2 linked regions of the Caenorhabditis elegans genome follow. The protein of the gene in region 1 interacts with the protein of each later gene in a pairwise test. Each region holds a gene or a part of one and is shown on either strand. Other genes may lie near its edges. The genes, in order: tbc-8 and rund-1.

Region 1 (10,571 bases):
ATTTCAAAATGGGGTCACTATTATGTGTAGTATGACACCCGAGTGGAAGGTAAAGGAGAGACCAAAGATAAACGGATTGGAATTGAATTAAAAAAAGTTGGAACATTATTTGGTTGAAAAATACTCGTGGCCTAGGAATCTGGTGGCCTGAATTTTTTTGATTCTGGCCTAGAGCTAGAAATCTGGTAGTCTGGTGGAATTGGAAATTTAATCTATAATAGAAAAAATTGGTTGGGAACTGAAGTTGGTGGCCTAGAAATCTTATAGTTGCTTTTTCAAAAAGGCGTATGATGATTTAATAATGCAAACTTTCTTTCATGGCATTTCAAAAAAATATATTATATATATGTATATAAATTTTTGATATGTCAAAGAACATCCAAAACCTTCAATTGCTAATAAATAAAACATCCAATAAAACATATATCTGTTGCTAAGTACCTCTGGCGGGGTCAACAGACCCCCCCCCCCTTCCGTCGTTAGATGTGGCCAAAAGGATCCTCCGCCGGCGAGCAGAAGTGTAAAAGAACAATGAAACAAGAACAATAGCGTACATAAATTTCATTAAAAGTATACATTTTCTGCAATAAATACAAACTACTAGCTGTCAACTACAGACGAAAAAAAATTGATTATGAAAAGTGTAAAATAATAAGTTTTCATGAATACACATTCGGATAGTGACCCGTATGACACAGAAAATCGATGTTCTCCCACACATTCTACTTGAGGTGTTGCACAAGGTTCTGCAAACATTTGACGTGGGTGCGAGCCGATGAGAGAAGACGTGAGCAATCGTGACGTTCGGCCATTTCTGTAATGTAAACATTAGTCAATTCATGAGGGTTTATTGCATACCATTGAAAAATTTAATCATATCAGTATAGTCAAAGTTGTTTGTGATAAGGACATCGTGATAGTTGGTGATTGTTGCCAAGCCAAAGAAAATCGCAAAATCATCTGTGATCCGGAGTCGCTGAGCAGCCCAGATGACCTCCCATACTTTGTAGGTACATTCGTAGGATAGTTCTGGAATTTGGTACTAACATATAAGTTTACTGAATGTTAAAATTGTAAGTTCACTGTAGAGTGATGTTCTAGAGGTATATAGTATAAAATCTGGTCAAGTTGTAGGTTGTGCCAAAAGTCGATTTTCCATCTAAGGGTACTGTAGTTTTACCCTATGTTACATGTACGGTTAGAAGTTAAATACCGTATGTCCTCTACAAAATTATAAACTTTTTTCCTCATGTTTTCTTATGTATACTCAAACTTCAAACATCAACTACATCATCAAGGAGTACTGTAGTTTCAGCCTAGGGCCGCATGCCATACAAAATGCATTTTTTGGCTACTGTAGGATTACTGTAATGCTCACCTCGTTTGAAGTCCAGCAAAAACCATCTAAAAGCGAACGATAGTGCTTGAGCATAGTCGATGTCAGAGATAAGGGCGTAGATTTGTGGATCGACAACCTGAAATCATGTAAGGTTACTGTAGGATTACGCTATTTTTAATCAAATGGATCTATTTAGGACTATTCAGGATTACTATAAAGTAACTGTTTTTGATTTCGTTCAAGCTTATAGTGAATCCGTTTGTCTCTACGAACTTGGCACGAAAAAGTAAGCAGGGTTACTGTATGGTTACAGTACTCAAGGTTACTTTGCAGATTCTAAATATGGTTGCCTCTCTCACCTGTATCAATGATCTCAAGTTCAACAGACACTTTGACATCCCTGGACGTTGCGGAAACTTTCCTCGTTGCCGAAGCATCAAAAGTGAGAAGCACTCAAGTGTTAAAGCCTCTGAAATATGCACATTTTTTCAGGCACCCTAAAAATGTTCTTTACCATCTTCAAAAGTAACCAACAGTGGAGCCAACAAGTCGCACATTCCTTGAGTATATCCTTCTTCGAGGTTTCGGCGCACATATGTGTACATTACTCGTCTGAAACATTTTCAGGTTAATATTTTGATCTACTTTCATCCGTTACCTCAAGCTCTCTAAATTGTCTTTATTCGAGAAGAACATCAAATTTCTATCGCATCTCTCCACGTCCTTGTCAATTCTGTGCAGATTTGCGCGGAATAAGGTGATCAAGTTCTCGCGGTCGTAGTGCTGAGAGCATGTTGGCTCCTGGAAGAGGAATTGGGTTTCTAGGCCACAATTTTTATGCCACTTACATTCGGATCCTCGAAAACATCGCACGACTCCTCTCGAACTGGTGAAGCTGCTTTTCGAGCTCTCGCCGCTCGGAAGGCTTCCTCGTCTCTACGCCGAACTTCTGCCTCAAGAACTCGCCATTCTTCTATCTGAAAACATATCAGTTGACCAGCTATATTTTTTTTAGAAATATTTCAGTTGACAATTATTTTGTACCTACAATGAAAAAAAAACTCACATCTTGCCAATACTGACTCGTAAACTGTTCCAGCCTAGACTCTGGACTCTCATTCCATTCAAACAATCCTAGAAGGTACGGCCACGCCATTCTTCGGACTTCTTTTGTATTAATTCCTTCTATTCCTCTCCAGTAGACCCGTTTTAAAAATTCCTTCTCGTTTTCTTCCTGAAACAAAAAAATGGTTATTCCTTGAAGAAGCTGGCTAATTTTGAAGAACTCGAAGAGAGCGACCGACACATTCACGGGCAGCAGCTCCGCCCGTGAGATGTCGGCCGCTAGAACCAAGCTTGATTTTCTTTAAATTTCAGCATATCCTGAAACACTTACAGTAGGCTCTGCTCTAGCTTGCTTCCAGAACTTTTCATCGACCGGATCACAATCATCATCACAAATCAATGTTTTTGTATCCACCAAATGTAATAAATGCGTTCGAATAGTCCTCAGATGCCTAACATAGGTGAGCCACCCGTAAAAGGCACGAGCCATTATTTGATTTCTCATCGATTGGCAAGCCGTGCCGATTTGGAAACTGAAAATTTGGATAAATTTAGAATTTAAATAAAATAATGATTCTTACTTTACAATACTATCCACATTATCGACAATATACGGTGAGTTTGGCAGAGAGACGCTGAAAATAAATAGAGTTGAGTTATTTGACAAAGAAATGGGATTACGGAAATAAAATAGAAAATTGGTTTAAAATTTTCGAAATTTAAAAATTATTTAAATATTTATTCCGATTTTGTTTACGTTGTTTTCATTAAAAATGAAATAAAAATGACTTAATTTTTAATTTGTTTTTCAAAAAATCTTTACTAGTTTTGTTTCAAAATTTGTGAAATTTGTTTAACTTTTTTTAAAATTTCTTAACTCACCAATTATCATGAATCGGAGGAGAATGTGATGTTGGTGCAAGTGGATCTTCAATATCCTCTGGAGCCGGTTCAACACCAGAAGTTCTTACCAAACGAAAAACGTAGTCAAGCATAGCAGGATTCGCCACTGCCGTAGACCGCTTTCGTAGACGAGGCAAAATTTTCTCTGAAATATATAATAATAATAATATCAGCTGCTCGGGGAGTTCGGTTGCTAGGCACAAAAAGGGATAATTCATGTATGCCTAACATTATAATTTAGAATTTAGTAGGCTTTTTGATAACTGAGCACTAAAAGTTTCGAATTTATTATCATTTTTTGGAGAACTTTTAAAAAATAAAATTAAAGTTCACACTTAATGTATTCCTACCTTTAGTCGTGCCAACCCAAAGTGGAGGATCAAGCCTCAGAAGTGGAGCTAAACCCGTCTCAAGTGAAGAAAGAAATGCAATTGAATGTTGACCAGCAGGTAATTGGAATGGAGCTGATTGAACTCCTTCGCAATTGACAAATGTCAAGCATGTCGGAGAGATCTCATCTTTTTGATGCAAATGAATGTAGATAATGTCTTGCATTTCAATATTTATAGTATTCTTCCAAATATTTGTAAATTCTCCATTATTTGAGTGTCCTGAAGAGGGCTGAGAACTCGCGTGCATAAGTTGATTGGGTACCCATTTTAGAGAAAGGTTTCCGTCGTAGAACTTTTGAAGCGACATGTAACCTGAAAAACTAATGTTGAATAAAAATATTTAATTTTGGACAAATTTGTTTTTTTAAAGTTAAATTTTTATCGGGAAATTCGAAAAGAGCCAAATTTAAAATTCTCCAAAAGTGCATTTTAATGCAATAATTTTTTTTAGCGCGAAATTCAAATTTTCCATTAAACAAATTTAGGAGTCAATTTGAAAAAAGTCAGAAAAGTTCTAAAATTATTTTGGAGCTGCTCACCCTTTGCAAAATCGCTTCCATTCATTGCGACACAAACATTGTTCTTTCCATAAAGAAGGGTCGATTTGCAGCTGTGATGAAGTGAAAATACATAATCACGGCTCACGGAGCCATTCCTTTCAACTGAAGCTGCTATACTAGACACTTGACGGGTTATCTAAAAAATGAATTTTTTTGATTTTCTGAAGACGCAGTTTTTTAAAATTTAGTTCGCTTCCTGATTCTGATGACAATTTTTACTTTTTTTAAATTTCTAATTATTACATATAAATACTATCAAAGTAAAATCTCGCTCCAACGGCAACTGAAAACGCTCCGCCCCTATAATTGGGGTCTCGTTAGGTATTGGCGGCAAAGTCATGAATGAGAATTTTTTTTATTTATTGATTTTTTTCAAAAAAAAAAACTTTTTTTAAAATTATTTTTTGCCGTGGTTTTAAAATTATTGATGGAAAAATCAATAAAATAAAATAAAATGTCTTACAGAATTTTAGACATAAAAATCTTAAACAACAGTGAACAAATAACAACAAATTAAAAAAAATTTCTCGGAAAAAACGCACCATCGAATTTACGGCTTTGCCAGTACCTAACGAGACTTTAATTTCTAATCATTTAGAACATTGCAAGTATTAATTTTTGGCTCCGAAACTAACGGATAGTGGTGGCCTAGACGGAACTGTGGATGTGGATCCACGTGTTGCTCCTTCTACGAGCTCTTCAGCAGTGGCTTCTTGCTCAATTCGGTTGCTCATTCTTCGATATGTTACCATGCACGGAGCCACTGCAACAACAAAACATTTGAAAGTTTTCAGTTTTTGAAAAAAAAAAGTTTATTTCAAAATGGGATTAGAAAGAGGCTTCTTTTGCACAAAATATGATGATGCTCCAAAATGAGCGACATATTCATTAGTTGCTCTGTGAGCATGAAAAAGCTTCATCTCTTCTTTGGAAAGAGAGCTCAATGCTCCATTAGTAGTGAAAAAGGCGCTCAGTTTGAGAGAAACTCGATTAGTCTGTAAACAGAAGCACTCACACAGAAGAAGCTCGCAGATGAGACATTTTCCCGCAGCAACAAAAAATAAATGTAGTTTTCAATTGGCAGGGAGGGATCGGATGAGCAATTTTTAGTGGTGGAATTATGGAAAAAGTCAAAGAAAGTTGAGAGAAGAATGACGATAGTTTGAAATTTTTTCAATTTTCCAATATACATTTTTTATTGGCTTAGAAATTATTATTTCCTACGGCAAGTTAATTTTTATAACATGTGCAATTATAATATACAAGTACCATTTTTCGTATTGAAAATTTGGCGGGAAATACAATATTTTCTGAGAAATTTTTTTTAGCGCGAAACTGAACTTTTCTCCGTTTTTTTCTATCAACTTGCAGTTTCAAATTTAGCATAACTTTTTGTCAAAAAAAATACAAGGTAAAGCTAAAAGAATCTAGAGGAAAGTGGCGCATTTGATTCATCAATTATTCCAAAAAAAGCCTCCAAGCTTTTCCTCTTCAAATGTTTGAAAAAGAACAAAAAAAACGAAAACGGCAGGCGGAAAACGTAATTTCCTATTTATGGGCTCCCCTTGTTTTAGGCGACCGAGTTTCTCTCCCGAAAATATGTAAATTTTGAGCAGAGGCTTTTTGAATTATAAATTAAAGAACACATTTCTAAAAAATTAAAATAAAAATAAAAAAACGAATGCTTTTTTTTCGATTTTTAAGTATGTTGTTGCTTCTCCGGCTGTGTCCGGCTGCTTTGGCTCCAGCAGCTTACGGCTCAGATAGAGAGGGAAAAAGCATGTGAGAGAGCTCTCAAGCGTGGAGCTCTCACACAACGCCTTCTTTATTTTTGTCCTCTTTTTTTCAGTTTCCACGTCTCCGTCTCTCTTTTTGTGCCTGAGGAGCTGGAGCACGGGAAAAGGAGAGCAATGTGTGTGTGTGTGGTAGCACCGGAAGAAGATGGGCATTTTTAATCAATAATTAGGGGCTGGAAGTGCAACGGGAGAAACAAAAACTCTTGAGGAGGCACTTTTAATTTTAATTTCCGGTTAACTTTCTGGGGAGTTTACAAAAATCGATAATTTCAAAATTTTAAAATTATTTTTTCAATCCAAAAAAAGGCAGAGCATTGCAAGCCACATCTAAAAAGCGTGAGAAATTTTTTCTAAAAATTTAAATGTTCGTTTTCCACAAAAAAGATGGTGAAGCACCAGAAAAATAAATTGTTTCGGAAAAAAAGTTAACTGAAATTGTTCTTTATCGGTCTCTAAATTCTTATTTATAGTATTTCCATGATCTCTAGAAATCAAAACTTTGAGCACAGAATTTTTTTAATCGGTGGCCGAGTTTTCTTCTCACGCGGCCACGGAGCCAAATCAAAAACATATTTAGAACTCGTCTAATTTTTTAATTCAGATATTTTGAAAACAACAACATCTAAAAATTCCACGAATTTCAAAGATAAAATAGTTCCAGTTTTTCTGGTTAACCCTGAATATATGCAAAAAATATTCAAAACTTACTCATAAGCGTAGCAACTAGGCGACCTTTAACAGGATCCAGTAGTAGGGCACTATTGTCATAGTATCGACGGACACTGTAATTGAATAGTTTTATCAAATATTTTTGGAATATTTTTCAAAAAATTCAATCTTTGAGGGTTTTTTTTCCAGAGAAAATTTCAAAACAGAGTTTCATTTTTTAAAACAACTCTCAATTTTTCAAAAGACACACCAATTTTAGTTTTTTTTTTTCTGCTAACCTTTTTGAATCAATAAAATGATTGATAATAGTAGACAAAGACTTCAAATACAGAGCCTCACGAATCCATATCAAATGCACTGGAATTGCACTTGTCCGTAGCTCCTCAATCTCTCTTGTCTGATCTAAAACCTGTTGAGCTGGACCATTTGATTTTGCAATTATTTGAAGAAGTGACATTGATGATGGACTATTGAATAATGTGAGTAGCCGACGCCGGAGACCATCCATTATACAAGCATCAACTGCGATGCAGAGTGAGGTAACGTATGGGGAGTTGAGGTTCAAGTACTTTTTTGCTCCGTGCTCGGCCATTATATTTTTGATCTAAAAAAATTTCAAAATTATCTTTACAATTTTGTGATATTTGGCACCTTTTGTTATTATTAGAAGCCGAATAAAGTTTTAAAATTCCTATAAATTTTCGCGAATTTTCATTTTTCAATTTCAAGATGCCTCGAACCTTCTCCAAAGTTTCTTAAATTTTATTAAACTTTTTCGAGCTATCTAGAAATTTTTCAAAGTTTTCAGAAACTTCTTGAATTTCCCTTTGAAAACATTCTCGAGTTGTTTTGAAATTTCTCAGCGTTTTCTTAAGTCTCCAGAAATTTCTCCAATTTCATAGAAATTTCTCAAAGTTTCAAAGTGTTTTTCAGAAATTCCTTGGTTTTTCTAAAAGTAATTTCTAAGGTTTTCTAGGAATATTTGAAATCCCACCAATTGTTTTCTCAGAAATTTGATTTTCCTGACAATTTTCAAATTATCAGAAATTTGGCTCTGTTGGAAATTTTTTTTAAATTTCAAAAATTGCCAAAACTGCAAATTGTTGCGCACCCCTGTTTACAAGTGCTTCTACAGATAACTTTCCCCTCAAAATACCTCAATTTTCAGTTTTGTGAGTAAAACTTCTCTGTGTTGCGTGGGCACATCTGGTTCTGACTCTTCAACAGCACAAACACTTCCGTTTCTTGTCATTCGCTCGCACCCCTCGTCATGTCTGAAATTATTTTTTTGAAACTGCATAAAATAATAACAAAACTTGTTTTTTACTTGTATTAAAATGTTTTTTCAAATTAATTTCAAAAAAAAAATATATAGGTCATGCTGAATTCTCTCGTGGCCTAGAAAATCCCTAGGTGGCATAGAAACGTGGAAGGGTTTTTTTTTAATTTCTAGGCCATGAGGGAATACGAGATGGGGTACCTTTTGATAGTCGCTTAAACTTGGTGGAAGAGTTTTCGATATTTCTAGGCCACATACTTGGTTAAGGGGATTCTGGTGCAATTTGAAAAGCTAACTGCGTATTTTTATATTGCTTAAAGCTCAATAATATTCTAGAAAAAGTGTTGGAAGAGGTTTTACTAGGCTACGAAACTATTTTACTATTTTTTTCTGTTTTTTTGGAAGTTTTCAGAAATTTCTCTGGGACAATCGCAAAACTTATTAATTCTATCAAAATGTATATATTACCCAACATTGAAAAATTAGTGGAAGAGTTTCTAAAATTTCTAGGCCACAGGGGTCTGACCACCCCTTACACCTAAAAAGTACTCACTTTTCAACCCAGTGATCCGACTTATAATTGTTATTATCCGATAATCCATTAATCCAATCAACAATAGAAGATCGCCGTCCATCAGTTGATCTTCTCTCCAGTGTTGGCTTCTTCGCCCTCCACATATCTGCCGATGAATGCCGAAACATTTGCATTTTGTGTGTGTGTGTGTGTCTTGACTTCCTAACAGATTACAAGGGCTAGAAGTGGGCGGAGCTTTTTCGGAGCACACAATAATTGCTCCGTGTTCTTTTTTTTGGACTCTGCAAAAAAAAATAAGGGAAAAATAAGAACCAACATGGCAATTTCTGAGCGGAACGGGAAAATAACAGGAAAGAGAAAGAAAAAGAAGAGGAGAAGGAAGGGATGAGTCAAGGAAAATGGAAAAGGTTTTTTTGATTAAGATGAGCAATGAGAATATATGAAAAATAGCATATGATGGCCTAGAAAATATTTTTGGTGGCCTAGAAAACTAAACTCTAAGATATGCTTATAACTTTCCCTGTGTCAAACCTTATAGGCCTTGAAAAATCAGTGTGGAAGATTTTTCCGAGATTTCGAGGCCACCGATGGAAATGGGCGACCGGGGTACCGTATTTTGAATTTTGAAGTTTCAAACAAGTTAACAGATTTTTAACAGATTTTTGAGAAAATAAAGAACAATTTGGGATCGATTTCAAATTTCTAATCCTCGAAATTTTCGAAAAAAAAAGTGAAATTTAATGCTCTCAATGTTTGTCTTTTTAATTCATAACCAATTTAATTTTTTCCCAAAATGTTCGAAAAAATGAGCTCAAAACTGAGAGCCCAATTTAAATTTTGGCACGAAACATGTCATTTTCGAGAAAACTAGGGAGAATTTTAGACGAAATAGGGGGGAACAAAAAATTGAAATCCACATGAATATTCAACAGTTTGAGACGAGAAGGAGGATGAAGCATCACAAATCGACGGAAATTTTGAGACTTTTTTGAAAAAATAATTGTGTGAAACTGAGCTGAAAAACTTTTTGAAACTTTTTTGAAAAAGGAATAAAGTTCACCTGTTCTAATTGGAAGTCAGACGGAAAAAATGTTCAAATTTTTTAAATATTTTTGAAATAATTGGAGCATATTTTAAGGTATAATTTGCCAGTTTGGGAAAGTAATTGTTCAGGAAAAAAATATGTTTTTTTTTTCAATTTGTGCTTATTATTTCCAATTTTAAATTGCAAAAAGTTCAAATTTTGATCAGAATTGGGATCTATGTATTCAAACTATTTTTAACTATTCAAACACCTTTCAATACATTTTTTAAAAGTTTTTATAAAAAATTAGTTTTTCCAACAACAAAAAAAATCTCAGAGCAAGAAAATCAAATTCAAAAAAGGAACATTTTCAAAAACTGGAAACAGACTAAAAACTAGGAGAAAAAACAATTTTCCCTGCTTCCAGTGCACTTGAACTTGTCACACAAAACACAGAAATGTGCATTTCAAATTTTCTTTGAAATATGAAAAAAAAACACACAAAGACAGAAAAAGGAGAAGCCTGGTGCTCTTGGAGTTGGCCAGACAAACTCATAAATCAGAAAAGGGGGAAAATGTGAAACAGTTTGATTTATTTTTTGTTTTTTTTTTGTTGGAAATAACTCGGTGATGTCTGAAATTTGACTGAAATTGCGGAGAAGAATATAGTTTTAAAAATTGAAAAAGAGATTTTTAATTCCAGACAAATATACTTTAATGTTGAAAAAGAAACATAATTTCTGACAATTTTTTTTTAGAACGTTTCAGAAAGTTTGAATGAAAAAAAATTTAATAGTACTTTTTTTTTAATTTTTGCGAATTTTTTTCATTAACAAAAATATTTTTAAAAAATGTTTTAACGTATCTATTTTAATAAATTTAATTGTAAATAGCTTTAAAAAATAATTTCAGAAACTTAAAACTTCTCCAAAATTCCCACAAAAATGCCACAAAAATGCCACTCACTGAACCATAAATTATTAAGAATTTCGATTTTTGAACTTTTCTT
Region 2 (11,486 bases), on another chromosome or scaffold:
AAACTAAAAAAATATTTTTTTTATATTGTTTCCCCACAATTTTTGAACACATTCGTTGTAATGTTTTGAGAATTATAGGAGTGAATTAAAGGAAGGTGGAGGAGGGCCTGTGGGGAAATTGTTTTAAAACATGACTATGGTTCCATAACTACCAAATATCAAAAGGAAGAAATCTCAATTTGCATCAAATTCCCTTTTGAATTGGAGTTCGACGCTTGCCTTATTTAAACTTTTAATCATTAATTTTTCACAATTTTAGACTGATTTTTCATGTTTTTTTTGTGTAATTTTACTGAAAATTTAGTGAACAATTCAGGATAAATGTAAATGTTTTATTAAAAAACGGATCTGTGCAGTTGATTATTTCAGGCTCTACGTCGTTGGAAAACTTGCCTTGTTTTTTTTTAGTTTTTCGGTGAGTAATTTAAATTTATCTTGATTTTTCTTGCTGAATTTCCGATGAAATTTCACAAAAAACATTAAAAATCAGGCAAAACATAAGAAAATTTGATGAAAATAATTTAAATACATAAGACAAGCCCGAACTATTGGCAGTAATTCGAATATGAATTTGATGCAAATCGATGTTTTTTTTAACTTCCAAACTTCTCATATAAAATTTAGAAAACTTTTCTGAACATTTTTACTATGATAGTAAGTTATATAGGCATGTTCTAAAGCAATTTATCCACTGGCGCTTCCACAACTTTAAGTTTCAGAATTTTCAAAAAAAAACCGCTTCGTAAATGCTTATCGCCTATTTTCTGCATTTTGATGTGAAGAATAGCTTTTTATTACAAATTCAAATCGGAAAAAGAACATACCTCATCATCTGTAAATGACACAATAAGTGTGCACAATGGAGCTTCTTTCAGCTTACACTCATTCCCTTTCACCACATTTGATGGTACCACGTGATTTTCTCGCCTGAAAACCATGTCAATATCAATTGAGAAATCTCCATAAATGTGTAAAAGTTTGCTTTACAAGGGAAGTCTTTGAGGGGGTCCGTAGATTTGGGGTTCTCATGTTAAAATTCCTACAGAAGAGTGTTAGTTATGATCTCTCCAAAAAATTTAGCTGCCCCGGTCAAGTTTCAGCAAAGTTATGACGTTTTGAAATTTCAGTTAAAAACACCATTGAAATCCACTGTCTTACCATGCAGTCCACGCAAATCTCAGCTTGCGTGACCACCGAAAATGTGACACCCATCACATTGAGTTGAAAAATGTCCTCGGTGGACGAGTTAACTCCCCAATTGGGAGTGCGCGCGTCTGATAAGATTTAAGCTTTGGTTCGATTCCTTCTATTTTTGAAATATTTTTGTAAGTTGAATAAAGTTGTAAAACAACTCATTCAAACATTTTTGCGCATTTTTAAAGTGATTTTATTCTTATTCGGGAACCTAGAATCATTGTCCGCACTTTTTGGAAATTTTTATTTTTTTCATTGTTGCTCAAAATTTCTTGATCAACACCAAGCAAAAAATTCAAAAAATTTCATTTTTCTAAACAATTATGAAATTGCTATGTTGTTGTTCAGAAATGTATGAAACGTACATTACACAAGTTTTAACTCTCTATTCGCAAGTAAACCGTCGAAATGATCTACATCTCACGAACTTTGTGCAAAATATGTAACCAACTTTGAAGTTGCATAACTTCGTTGAGATAAATTATTTTGAAAAATGATCAACTAACAAAATGTTTGTTGAATAACAGTGAACAAAGTTTTAGTTATAAACTTTTTGATACCTTCAGCCACCAAAAAGTTGTGACCGTTTTCCAAAACACAATGTTAATAGAAAAACTAGCCAAATGCCAACCTTGTTTTCTTCTTTGTAGCTGGAGGTATCAAAAAGTTTATAACTAAAACTTTGTTCACTGTTATTCAACAAACATTTCGTTAGTTGATCATTTTTCAAAATAATTTATCTCAACGAAGTTATGCAACTTCAAAGTTGGTTACATATTTTGCACAAAGTTCGTGAGATGTAGATCATTTCGACGGTTTACTTGCGAATAGAGAGTTAAAACTTGTGTAATGTACGTTTCATACATTTCTGAACAACAACATAGCAATTTCATAATTGTTTAGAAAAATGAAATTTTTTGAATTTTTTGCTTGGAGTTGATCAAGAAATTTTGAGCAACAATGAAAAAAATAAAAATTTCCAAAAAGTGCGGACAATGATTCTAGGCTCCCGAATAAGAATAAAATCACTTTAAAAATGCGCAAAAATGTTTGAATGAGTTGTTTTACAACTTTATTCAACTTACAAAAATATTTCAAAAATAGAAGGAATCGAACCAAAGCTTAAATCTTATCAGACGCGCGCACTCCCAATTGGGGAGTTAACTCGTCCACCGAGGACATTTTTCAACTCAATGTGATGGGTGTCACATTTTCGGTGGTCACGCAAGCTGAGATTTGCGTGGACTGCATGGTAAGACAGTGGATTTCAATGGTGTTTTTAACCGAAATTTCAAAACGTCATAACTTTGCTGAAACTTGACCGGGGCAGCTAAATTTTTTGGAGAGATCATAACTAACACTCTTCTGTAGGAATTTTAGCATGAGAACCCCAAATCTACGGACCCCCTCAAAGACTTCCCTTGTTAGGTATCTACTCACTTTTTGCCACCGGAGTCAGACGGAACCAGCATATTCAGTTCTCAACGATTGAAAACAAGGATAGTGAGGAAATTGTATAACTTACAATTGTTTGTTGATATTTAGTTGACAAATAACGTGAAAACTGTTGGGCAAGGGAGTTATTCCGCCCCAAACTTCTCAATATTCAAAAGTGTATTCCGTAAGTTGGGATTGCATGTAATTGTATTCAGCTAATCCTCTTTTGAGTGCTACATTGATTCTCACACGTTAAGTTCACAACTTTCCCGAATTGAAGAGATAATATTATATAACCGGAAGTTTGAGGTTTTTGAAACTATTGAGAAAGTGTCACAGGAAAGAGACATGCCAAAAAATTTATCAATCCAGTTCAGCGAATTTTCTAACGTTCACAAAACTGATGAGTAGGATCAAGGGGGTCGATTCATTCAAAAAAGGCTCGGTTCAGGAATGCGTGCTGGCACAAGGCAATGCTAGTCCAAGCAGGCATGCAGACATTTTCTCCTAACTTTGTGATATACAAAGACAATTAATGTCCCGTTGTTGTAAGTAGAAGACATACCAATGAAACAAAATCATATAAAAAAATAGTATAAATATTCCGAATTTTATATGATTTTTTGAAAAATGGTATTAAAATTTTGCTATTTTTTTAGAAGTCGTGGAAAAATTGTTTGTTTCCAAATTTTATGTTTTATTTAAGTTTCAAAAAGTAACATTCGAAAATTATTAGAGTTCGAGTGCTACAGTTCTCACAAGAAGTGGCCTAAACTTAGTAATTGTCACTTTTTGACTTTTGACAATCACAGTTATTGAAAAAAATTTGTATTATAATATTTGGTTATTTTGGCACCGTTGGATGTTCTTAACAGTTTCTTAACTAAAGTTACTTCGCACTTGATCAATTTTGAAAAATGTATAATTATTTTGCTCGCTTTGTTTTTACGTAACACAATAGCACACCCACAATAAATGAACACTGCTCGACTGTAAACTTACAGTTAAATTGTTCAATCCGGTGAATTTTGGTCAATCTCTACCCCTGGTCAACCCTGGTTAATGATTCAAATTTAATTCCCCGGAATTTTTTTGACGCCCTACTGGAAGCTGGGAAATGTACGGACGTACACTTTCATCATAAACATTTTTTTCAGGAAACGATAAATTCACTCGAGCTCCTTTAAACACTAAATCAAAAAACCCGTTTGAAATCAAAATTCAAATTTTTATCTGAAATTTTATTTTTTCTCATAAAATTCAATTCTGAAAATCTTTTCCTTTCCATTAAACCGAAACTAGCCGCAATATAAGCAATAATCAATTAAAATTATAAAGAAAAAATCCGGATTTTTTCTGACAGTGCCAGTGATTTCTCTTTTTCTCACTGTCATCTTTCTCCCTATCCGACATTCCTTTTTCCACGGAGGAGACGATATCCGCCGCCTGACACTATTTCGGTGGTGGTCGTCATAATAATGCGGCATAATAATGGTCTATATCACGCAACGTTCTACTTCTTTACTATTATTATTTTTTTTTCGTTCTCACCTGTAAACTGTCAGTTTTTGGAAATATTTGGTTTGTCTACTGGAGATGCGGGAACTCATGATAGGGGTCCGTTTCAGGATCTGGCTACGTAAGTTGGTTGACAAAAGTATTTATGCATCGTGACTGCTTTTTTAGTCGGTTCTACAGATTTATCACAATTTTTGCAAAAAGATTCCTCAAATCATTAAAAGCTTATATTTACAGAATTTCAGTTAGAGCAGCTATAATTTGAAAAAAAATGTTTTCAGTCAATCGGTCGGTCTCATGAAATACCTGCAAACAGTGCAGAAGAATCCAGACAACACTCTAGCCAAAAAGTAATGCTGTCTTAGTTTTTAATAGAGTGTATTTAAATTTTTTAAATATTCCAGATTGAAAAACCCATTACCTTCTATGAATTTGGTAGATGGAATGCCTGTTGTGCCAGGTCTTTTGGGAAGTTTACCAGGAGCCGGATCGTGTTTGCCACGTGGATCACCGCTTATTAAGGACAAGTAAGCTTTTTTATGACCAAAATTCGTGGGAATGAATGTATTTGAGAAGTATTTGTAGTCTGTTTCAAATCAACCTTACAAAAGTTAGAAAAAACCAAAAGAGTATGAATCATCATTCATTTTTCTTCAAGGTCACCAAGCTTCTTCCAAAATATCTTGCGCAACATACCGGGCGCTCAGGATTATCTGGCCAGTTTATTGCCCGCGCCAAAAGTCGACGTCAGGGCTTTGTATGGCAAGTTCCAGTGGGTGAGTGTGTGTGATAAGAGATCACCATAATGATCAGAAAACAAAAGTAGTGTTAAGCTCTGTCATACATTATTTGTATTATGTAATGACTTTTTGAAACTAAAGAAAAAATTTTTAACAACGGAATGACACAGAACATGAATTTTTCTTTCAATACGATTGTCAAATTTCAGCTCAAAAAAGGGAAAAAGTGACAAAGTGATTTTTTAACAACTAAAAAAATATACATCTTTTTGACGAGCAAAGTATGTATATGGTGGAGGGTTACTTCCAGACGAGTCCCATTTAAAACTTGTGATTTCACTAATCTATCACAAAAATTGAAACATCCACTGAATTTTCAAACTTTAATTTTTTCAATTTGTATTTTTTTCACAATTTTCTAGTACTGCAGAAGTGCTCCAAAAGTTACTTTCTATGAGACAAACATAATAAAAATTTCTGAGTATTTTTTTTGTTTTATTTAAAAAACGTGACAAATTGACTTCCACCTTTAACTTCGAAACATTAGTTTAAAATATATCAGTTACAATGTTTCATTAGAACAAAAAATTCGAGTTATAGAATTTCAATGCGAAACGAATACAATACCTTTCCAGGCTCTGGACACTCCATCTGTTCATAATCGGTATTGCGCTACAACTGAGTGTAAGTGTAATTTATCAACCCCCAACAAGAAATGTATTTCAGTCATGCCCCAAGCAGAATCGGGAAATTCGTCAGCTTTCAGTTTGCAGGAAAAGTTCAGAGCAGGAAGTGTAGATGCGGGGGAGAAAGTGAGTATTAATTACTAATTATTTTGAAGAATATTATTTTGAAAGTTTAGGTTGCATTTGGATACGGAATAATTCATCACGAGAGAACATATGTCTATATGCAGGATGATCCGTGTCCATGTAAACTTTTTTGCTAATTTTCACATATCACAAAAAACTAATTTCAGATCAAATTGTAGTAGTTGGCCCAATAAATAAGCAACACAACCAGTATGAATACCTAATTCTCTCAAATTGGGCTCGTTTCCCAATGATTGGTTTAGTTCGAGATTTGAGAAAGTTCTATAAAGAGTACAAGGATCAAGTGGAGACCGATTTGGAAAAAGCCGGATTCATGGATGATGTCACAGGGTAGGTTGGGCTTTTGGGCCCGCAAGATGTCCTTACATTAATGAACGGAAAACGTTTTTTAGTATCCGACAACCGTTGGGAATTCATATCGAATTTGACTTTTCATAAAAAATTATTTTTCAGAAGCAACCCTATTCATTACGCCGACTGGTCACAGTGCAAAAAAGCAACTCCATACAATTATCTTACAAATGTTCTCACTGATCTTTTTGGGTAAATTATCAATCATACTTCAACACTTTCATTTAAGTACTAACGTAATTTATTTTCCATTTTATTGTTTTTATTGAATAAAACAATTTTCAAAAAAAAAGTGGCAATTAATTTATTTTATCCCGAACCTGTTTTAAACTGTCTTGATTGTTCAGTTCCAGTCATTTTAATATGCTTATTACAAATTTTTTGATATTATAGTACTAAAATGCGTCTTTGATTTGTTCGAATGGCCTCAAAGCCAAGTCAACCGGTAAGTGAATACTATATTTGTGAAGACCTTCGAGAAGTGTGTAGAGTTCCTCACAGCCTGAAAATAACGAGTTGAAAATGGAAAAAAGAGAAGATGGTACCCACCTGTTCTTGCAACATAACTCCAAGAGTTGTAGCACATTTCGACAACTTGTCGGGTTCGAAATATGATCCTGCAAACAAATTTAATTAGTTTGGACATTTGAAATAAGGGCAATTGACGGGTATTAATATATGTAGCAGCTCAAGGATTTGATATAAAATAATTGGTTTTTTGTTTGAGATCACCCTAAATAAATGAACTCGTACGAGATTATTAGCAATAATACTAACAAGTTAATTAATGTCTTGCAAAGTTCTAATAGGTAAAACATCAAAATTCTTATGGAATTTCAAGCGGATAAAGTCCTTGTCAAGATGAATATTTATTTCAGACGTGTTTCTACATTTTCTGAGGTTTTCAGTCTAGGAGGAACGGCATGATCTAAAATTGCACTGTATTTTGGAGTGCGTCTTATTTTTTGTGTACACAAAGTGGTAAACGTATGATCTAAATATTCAAAAGTTGCGCGGTTTTTTTACGAAAAAAAGACTTCCGTACCTCAACCAAGCAGGTAATTTTTTCTCATTCAAAGCAGCTGAGACAAATGCTTTCCAATGCGCATCTTTTGATCTTTTTAATCTTGCGTGAGTCGAGATGATGTTTTCAATTGTTGTCAGCAAAACCTAAAAAATTAATTCGCTTGTTCGCGTCCTTAAAAAAACAGATTCTACCTGTTTTGAAGTTATGCTTCTTCCTCCGACGTGATCCAATTTAAAGGATTGACTCAATTTTCTTACAGGAGCATCTGTGGTGTCTCTTCCAGTTTTTAAATTATAAAAGTATAAAATCACATCCCAAATATGACTCAATGACGTTGATTTCTCGTCCGCCGAGCTTTTTGCGACAAAACAGCCTAACCCCGGTATCCGCTTGTGCACCACTGTTTCTGAGAGCATCCCATGCTCTAGAAGGGCTTTCAATGCAAGACACAGCTGCTTTCGGACAATAGTTACCACTTCCTCTTCAGATCGTTCAAAGACCTCCTGAAATGTGATATTGCGAAATGAAATATCTCCTCATGTGAGAATTTGTGAATTTTGTGCCCTACGTCATTTTCTACTTGAACTTCTTCTAATTGGCCTTTTGTTGCCGAGTCGAATGTCAGTAGGGTGTATTTTTCCAGCACTTGTTGTGTGGCGTCTACTGCTAGTTGCACATGCGCCCGTTCGTCTCTGCAAAAAGTTTGAATGAAAGATGCTCGCATAATGGAAGTGAATGTGGGAAATTGAACAATAAAATCGTGTTTTTTTTGGCAAAAATATTTTGATAAACCGAACATTAAAATTATATTTGGGAAGTTACATTTTTTGGTCAGTGGTTAGTGCAAAATTTAATTTTGTCAGTGCTAGAACCAATTGAAGATTGTTCGTTTCATAATCAAAACTTGAAAAAGTGAAAATTAAAATTTTTTATAATCAGACAAATATCCGAAACCCAAAGTTCTTGTAGTATGTCAAAAACACACATCATTAAAGTTTGGCTCAATAAATGTGTGCAAATACGTGATCTGTATCTTGTGGTTTGAGCAAACACGTATAGTGGTGTTTTTTGCTCACATGTTTGTATCAAACTTTTAATAAATATTTTTATCGATTTAAAAAGCGTAAATATTTTTCGATCACAAACTTGAGAAACTAACCCATAATGATTTCCTTTCAAAGTATTTTTCAGCTGATTTTTCTGAAACCTTCCTGTTGAGCACCCGATGATTCCACTTAAAAATGATCCGTTTTTAGATTTGGCACCAGACAGCGGCGTTGATCCCATGCTCTGAAAGAAAAAATTGACTAGAAAATTAGTGAAAAACAACAATGATCATACCCGAACCGGTGTAGTTTGATTCGAATTTTCAGCATTCTCTTTCTGAAGAAAGTTGACAAAACGTTCCAAATCTGTGATCTGAGTCTGAAGTTGGTCTACTAGTTGTCCCTTTTCTTTGAACGGATTGACAAGTTGCTTCAGAGCATCATCTACTTGCCGTTGTATTTCTGTTTGGTTCATTTTATCTATGTCTAGATTTAACTCGATTTTTTCGCGGAGTTTATCCAGAACGGCTTTCTACAAATTAAAATTCAGCATAAACTCTTACTTTTATACAAACCTGTTTCTTCAAAATGTCAGTACTTGGAAGCTCGCCTTCTCCATTTTCATAGGCAGTCCTTTCCAAGTCTTCTACTTGCTCGCGGAGCTGTTTTAGCAATTCTTTTTGTCGTTCATTTTGCTTGTCTAGTACATCATTTCCACTTTCACTTTCACTTCGTAGCCTTTGCAGCTCGTTCATGTCTGTGCAACCCTTGAAAGCAAATTTTTGAAGATCAGAGAGCAACTTCTGGAAAAGACATATGAGATGAGGCAACTGAGCCTAATAGCTTACTAATCTATCGCTTGGGTCCGCTTCATTCATTTGCTTTATCCGGAACTGCACCTGCGCAAAATGGGAGCTCAGGGAAAATAACGAGTTATTGAGTCGTTCCTGCTCTTCTTCCAATTGTTGTACCCGTAATGCATCGTTTAAGCTTCTAAAAATTGAGTTCTGAGTTTATCAGTTAAAGGTAGTGCAGTCAAATTTTTTTTTATTGCTTTACCGAATTTCATAATAAAAATTTTTGAAAACTTCTCGAAAAAAGTTATGGAAAAAGTCAAAAAATGATTTTGATGAAATAAAGCATTAAAAATAATTGGACTACATCAATTTAATGAGATATTCAGGATTAAAATTTTTGAACCTACTGTTGCATTGACCACAATTTACACAAAAAGCTTACCCAATATCATCACTATGACTAGAAGACAACCGAGCACTTTTCCATTCAGTTTCAGACATTGTGTCATCTGAAAACAATTATTTCAGAAAACAAAAATCACTTTTAACTCACAAAAATCCAATCCATCCACAATTTCTTTTGAATCTTCGGACGCTCGCTTTTTTAAGGATTGACCCAACTCTACTAGCAAGTCGCTGGCTTCCAACTCGTTCATCATTTTGGCAAAATTTCTGGCACCTGAAACAATACGTTGAAAAAAAATTAATAAAAAAAATAATTATATATTATTACGAATGAATAACACGTACATTTTCAAAATTTTGTTTGAAGTGATGATTATTTTGAGATTGTTAATTGAAAGCTGAACAAATTCCATTTATTGAAACAAAATGAAAATGAAAAATGGGAGTGGACAAATAAATTACATCACGAAACATTAAAAACAATATATACTTTACTTTTTTTTCATTTTCCAATTTCCGTTTTTCTGCTAAAAGGGTTTTCAGAGAAGAGAAAAACTGAAAAAGAAAAAGATGACGTATGCTTTTAAAAAGGATTGCCGGACAAAAAAGGGGAAAAAGAAGGAGAAAAATAACGGAGCACGCAAGAGAGCAGAGAAATGAGGCAACAAACTGCGTCTCGTGTTCTTCATGCACTCTCACGTCGTCGCTCTTGGTTATCGACCGCCATGGGTAACGTGGAGAAAGACGGAAGAAGCATGGAGAAGGGACGCTTTTAGTCTTGGAAATGACGAACGAAATCCTTGTGGGCGGACATAATTATGAGAGCTTTTTCGACATGGAGGGGTTTAATTTTCATATGGCTTTGAAAATGCTCCAGGGTTGCGCGACGACGATTTCTACAAAAACCGAAATAGCGAACTGGCGGATTTAGTTTCATGTTTTTGAAAAACTGCCGAATTTGTCATTTGTCAAATAATATATTTAATAATATCATCAAAACTAATAAAAATTATTTAATTATTTAAAAAAGCATTCACAACTAAGTTTTTGAAATTGTTTTCCGTTTTTGATGTTTTTTGTAGGAAAATGTGGCAAAAGTTGTATGGTATGTTAAATTGGGTAAGAGAGATTAAAGTAAAAATGAAAGAGGTTTTTTCTGTATCTCAAACGCTTTTTTTTTGGCTAAGAAATTCTGATTATCTCGCTCTGAATCATTGAAAACAATTGAACACATGTTGGCCAAAGTTTGCCATAATTGGTTGAGAGGTGGCTAAAGTTGGTTGAAGTTGGCTAAAGAAGACTACAAACGGCGAAAGGTGGCGAAGGTTGGTTGCAAAGCGACTGGTTGCTTAAAAGTGGTAGAAAAGTGGGCAAAGTTGGTTCAGAAGTGGTTAAACATGGTTTGAAAGTGGTGGGAAGCTAAAGTTGGTTGAGAAGTGAGGAACGTTGGTTTAAGAGTGGCGCGAATTTATTCACTTTTCGTGTTGGCTCTGAGAGAATTTAATGAATGCATTCATTTTTAAATTTTCGAAAATTAAATTTCAAAATTGAAAAACCAAAAAATGTTCAGCAATTGCCGTTTCTCCGTAAATTTCGCAAATCGACAGTTTACTGAAATTTCTGAAAATTTTAAAATTCAGCAATTGCTAAGACTTGCCACAAACATAAAGTTTCTAATTTCCTAAAAGTTCTCAAGCCTATGCATTTGTTGTTTTACTTTTAAACTCGAAGTATCTGAGACCTGCTAATATTTTAATGAGAAAAACCTGTCGAAACTTTCCAAATTTGATTTAACGCTATATAATGAAGCTGATAGTGAGATCAAAAACAAAGTTTTATGTTTCAAGAAAATTTGAAAACATTTTATTTAGTTATTTAGCAACTTAACATACACATTACTTAAAAAAGTAAATCTTTTGCTCACTTCTCAATGAATTTATATTAAAACAAATAAATTTTTTTTGTCTAACTTTGAGTTTGTCCGCATTTTCGGAAATTGCCAAACTTTAAAATGTTTGACAAATTGGTGAGTAGGGAGTTTGACAATTTTTTAATAGTCTTGGCAAATAACAAATGTCAGAAAAAAATAAATAAAATATTTTTAAATATAAGTTGTTTTATTTTTTAATATTTTTAAA

Evidence for each region.
Region 2: the proteins of tbc-8 (region 1) and rund-1 interact in a two-hybrid assay, tested with the Caenorhabditis elegans proteins (one study listed by BioGRID).

Annotation. Positions count from the first base shown.
Region 1 is NC_003281.10:10,363,206-10,373,776, reverse strand, and holds tbc-8 (Rab GTPase-activating protein tbc-8), read right to left. Parts: upstream 8,822-10,571; 5' UTR 8,712-8,821; coding exon 8,557-8,711; intron 7,999-8,556; coding exon 7,881-7,998; intron 7,329-7,880; coding exon 7,003-7,328; intron 6,838-7,002; coding exon 6,764-6,837; intron 5,023-6,763; coding exon 4,895-5,022; intron 4,396-4,894; coding exon 4,239-4,395; intron 4,012-4,238; coding exon 3,658-4,011; intron 3,453-3,657; coding exon 3,287-3,452; intron 3,040-3,286; coding exon 2,986-3,039; intron 2,938-2,985; coding exon 2,736-2,937; intron 2,574-2,735; coding exon 2,406-2,573; intron 2,317-2,405; coding exon 2,188-2,316; intron 2,141-2,187; coding exon 1,998-2,140; intron 1,952-1,997; coding exon 1,854-1,951; intron 1,809-1,853; coding exon 1,699-1,808; intron 1,476-1,698; coding exon 1,379-1,475; intron 1,030-1,378; coding exon 859-1,029; intron 815-858; coding exon 723-814; 3' UTR 543-722; downstream 1-542. UniProt on the Caenorhabditis elegans protein: Interacts with numerous Rab family members, functioning as Rab effector for some, and as GTPase activator for others. GTPase activator for rab-2. In association with ric-19 activates rab-2 during dense core vesicle maturation in cholinergic motoneurons.
Region 2 is NC_003284.9:652,156-663,641, forward strand, and holds rund-1 (RUN domain-containing protein), read right to left. Parts: upstream 9,623-11,486; 5' UTR 9,603-9,622; coding exon 9,497-9,602; intron 9,453-9,496; coding exon 9,386-9,452; intron 9,140-9,385; coding exon 8,995-9,139; intron 8,950-8,994; coding exon 8,722-8,949; intron 8,679-8,721; coding exon 8,442-8,678; intron 8,391-8,441; coding exon 8,260-8,390; intron 7,793-8,259; coding exon 7,669-7,792; intron 7,604-7,668; coding exon 7,292-7,603; intron 7,244-7,291; coding exon 7,119-7,243; intron 6,691-7,118; coding exon 6,623-6,690; intron 6,576-6,622; coding exon 6,469-6,575; 3' UTR 6,322-6,468; downstream 1-6,321. Other genes in the region: Intermediate filament protein ifc-2, read right to left, coding at 825-927, 2,635-2,666; lpr-7 (Lipocalin domain-containing protein), read left to right, coding at 4,110-4,270, 4,431-4,499, 4,554-4,676, 4,808-4,925, 5,525-5,573, 5,616-5,701, 5,752-5,821, 5,869-6,052 and 1 more.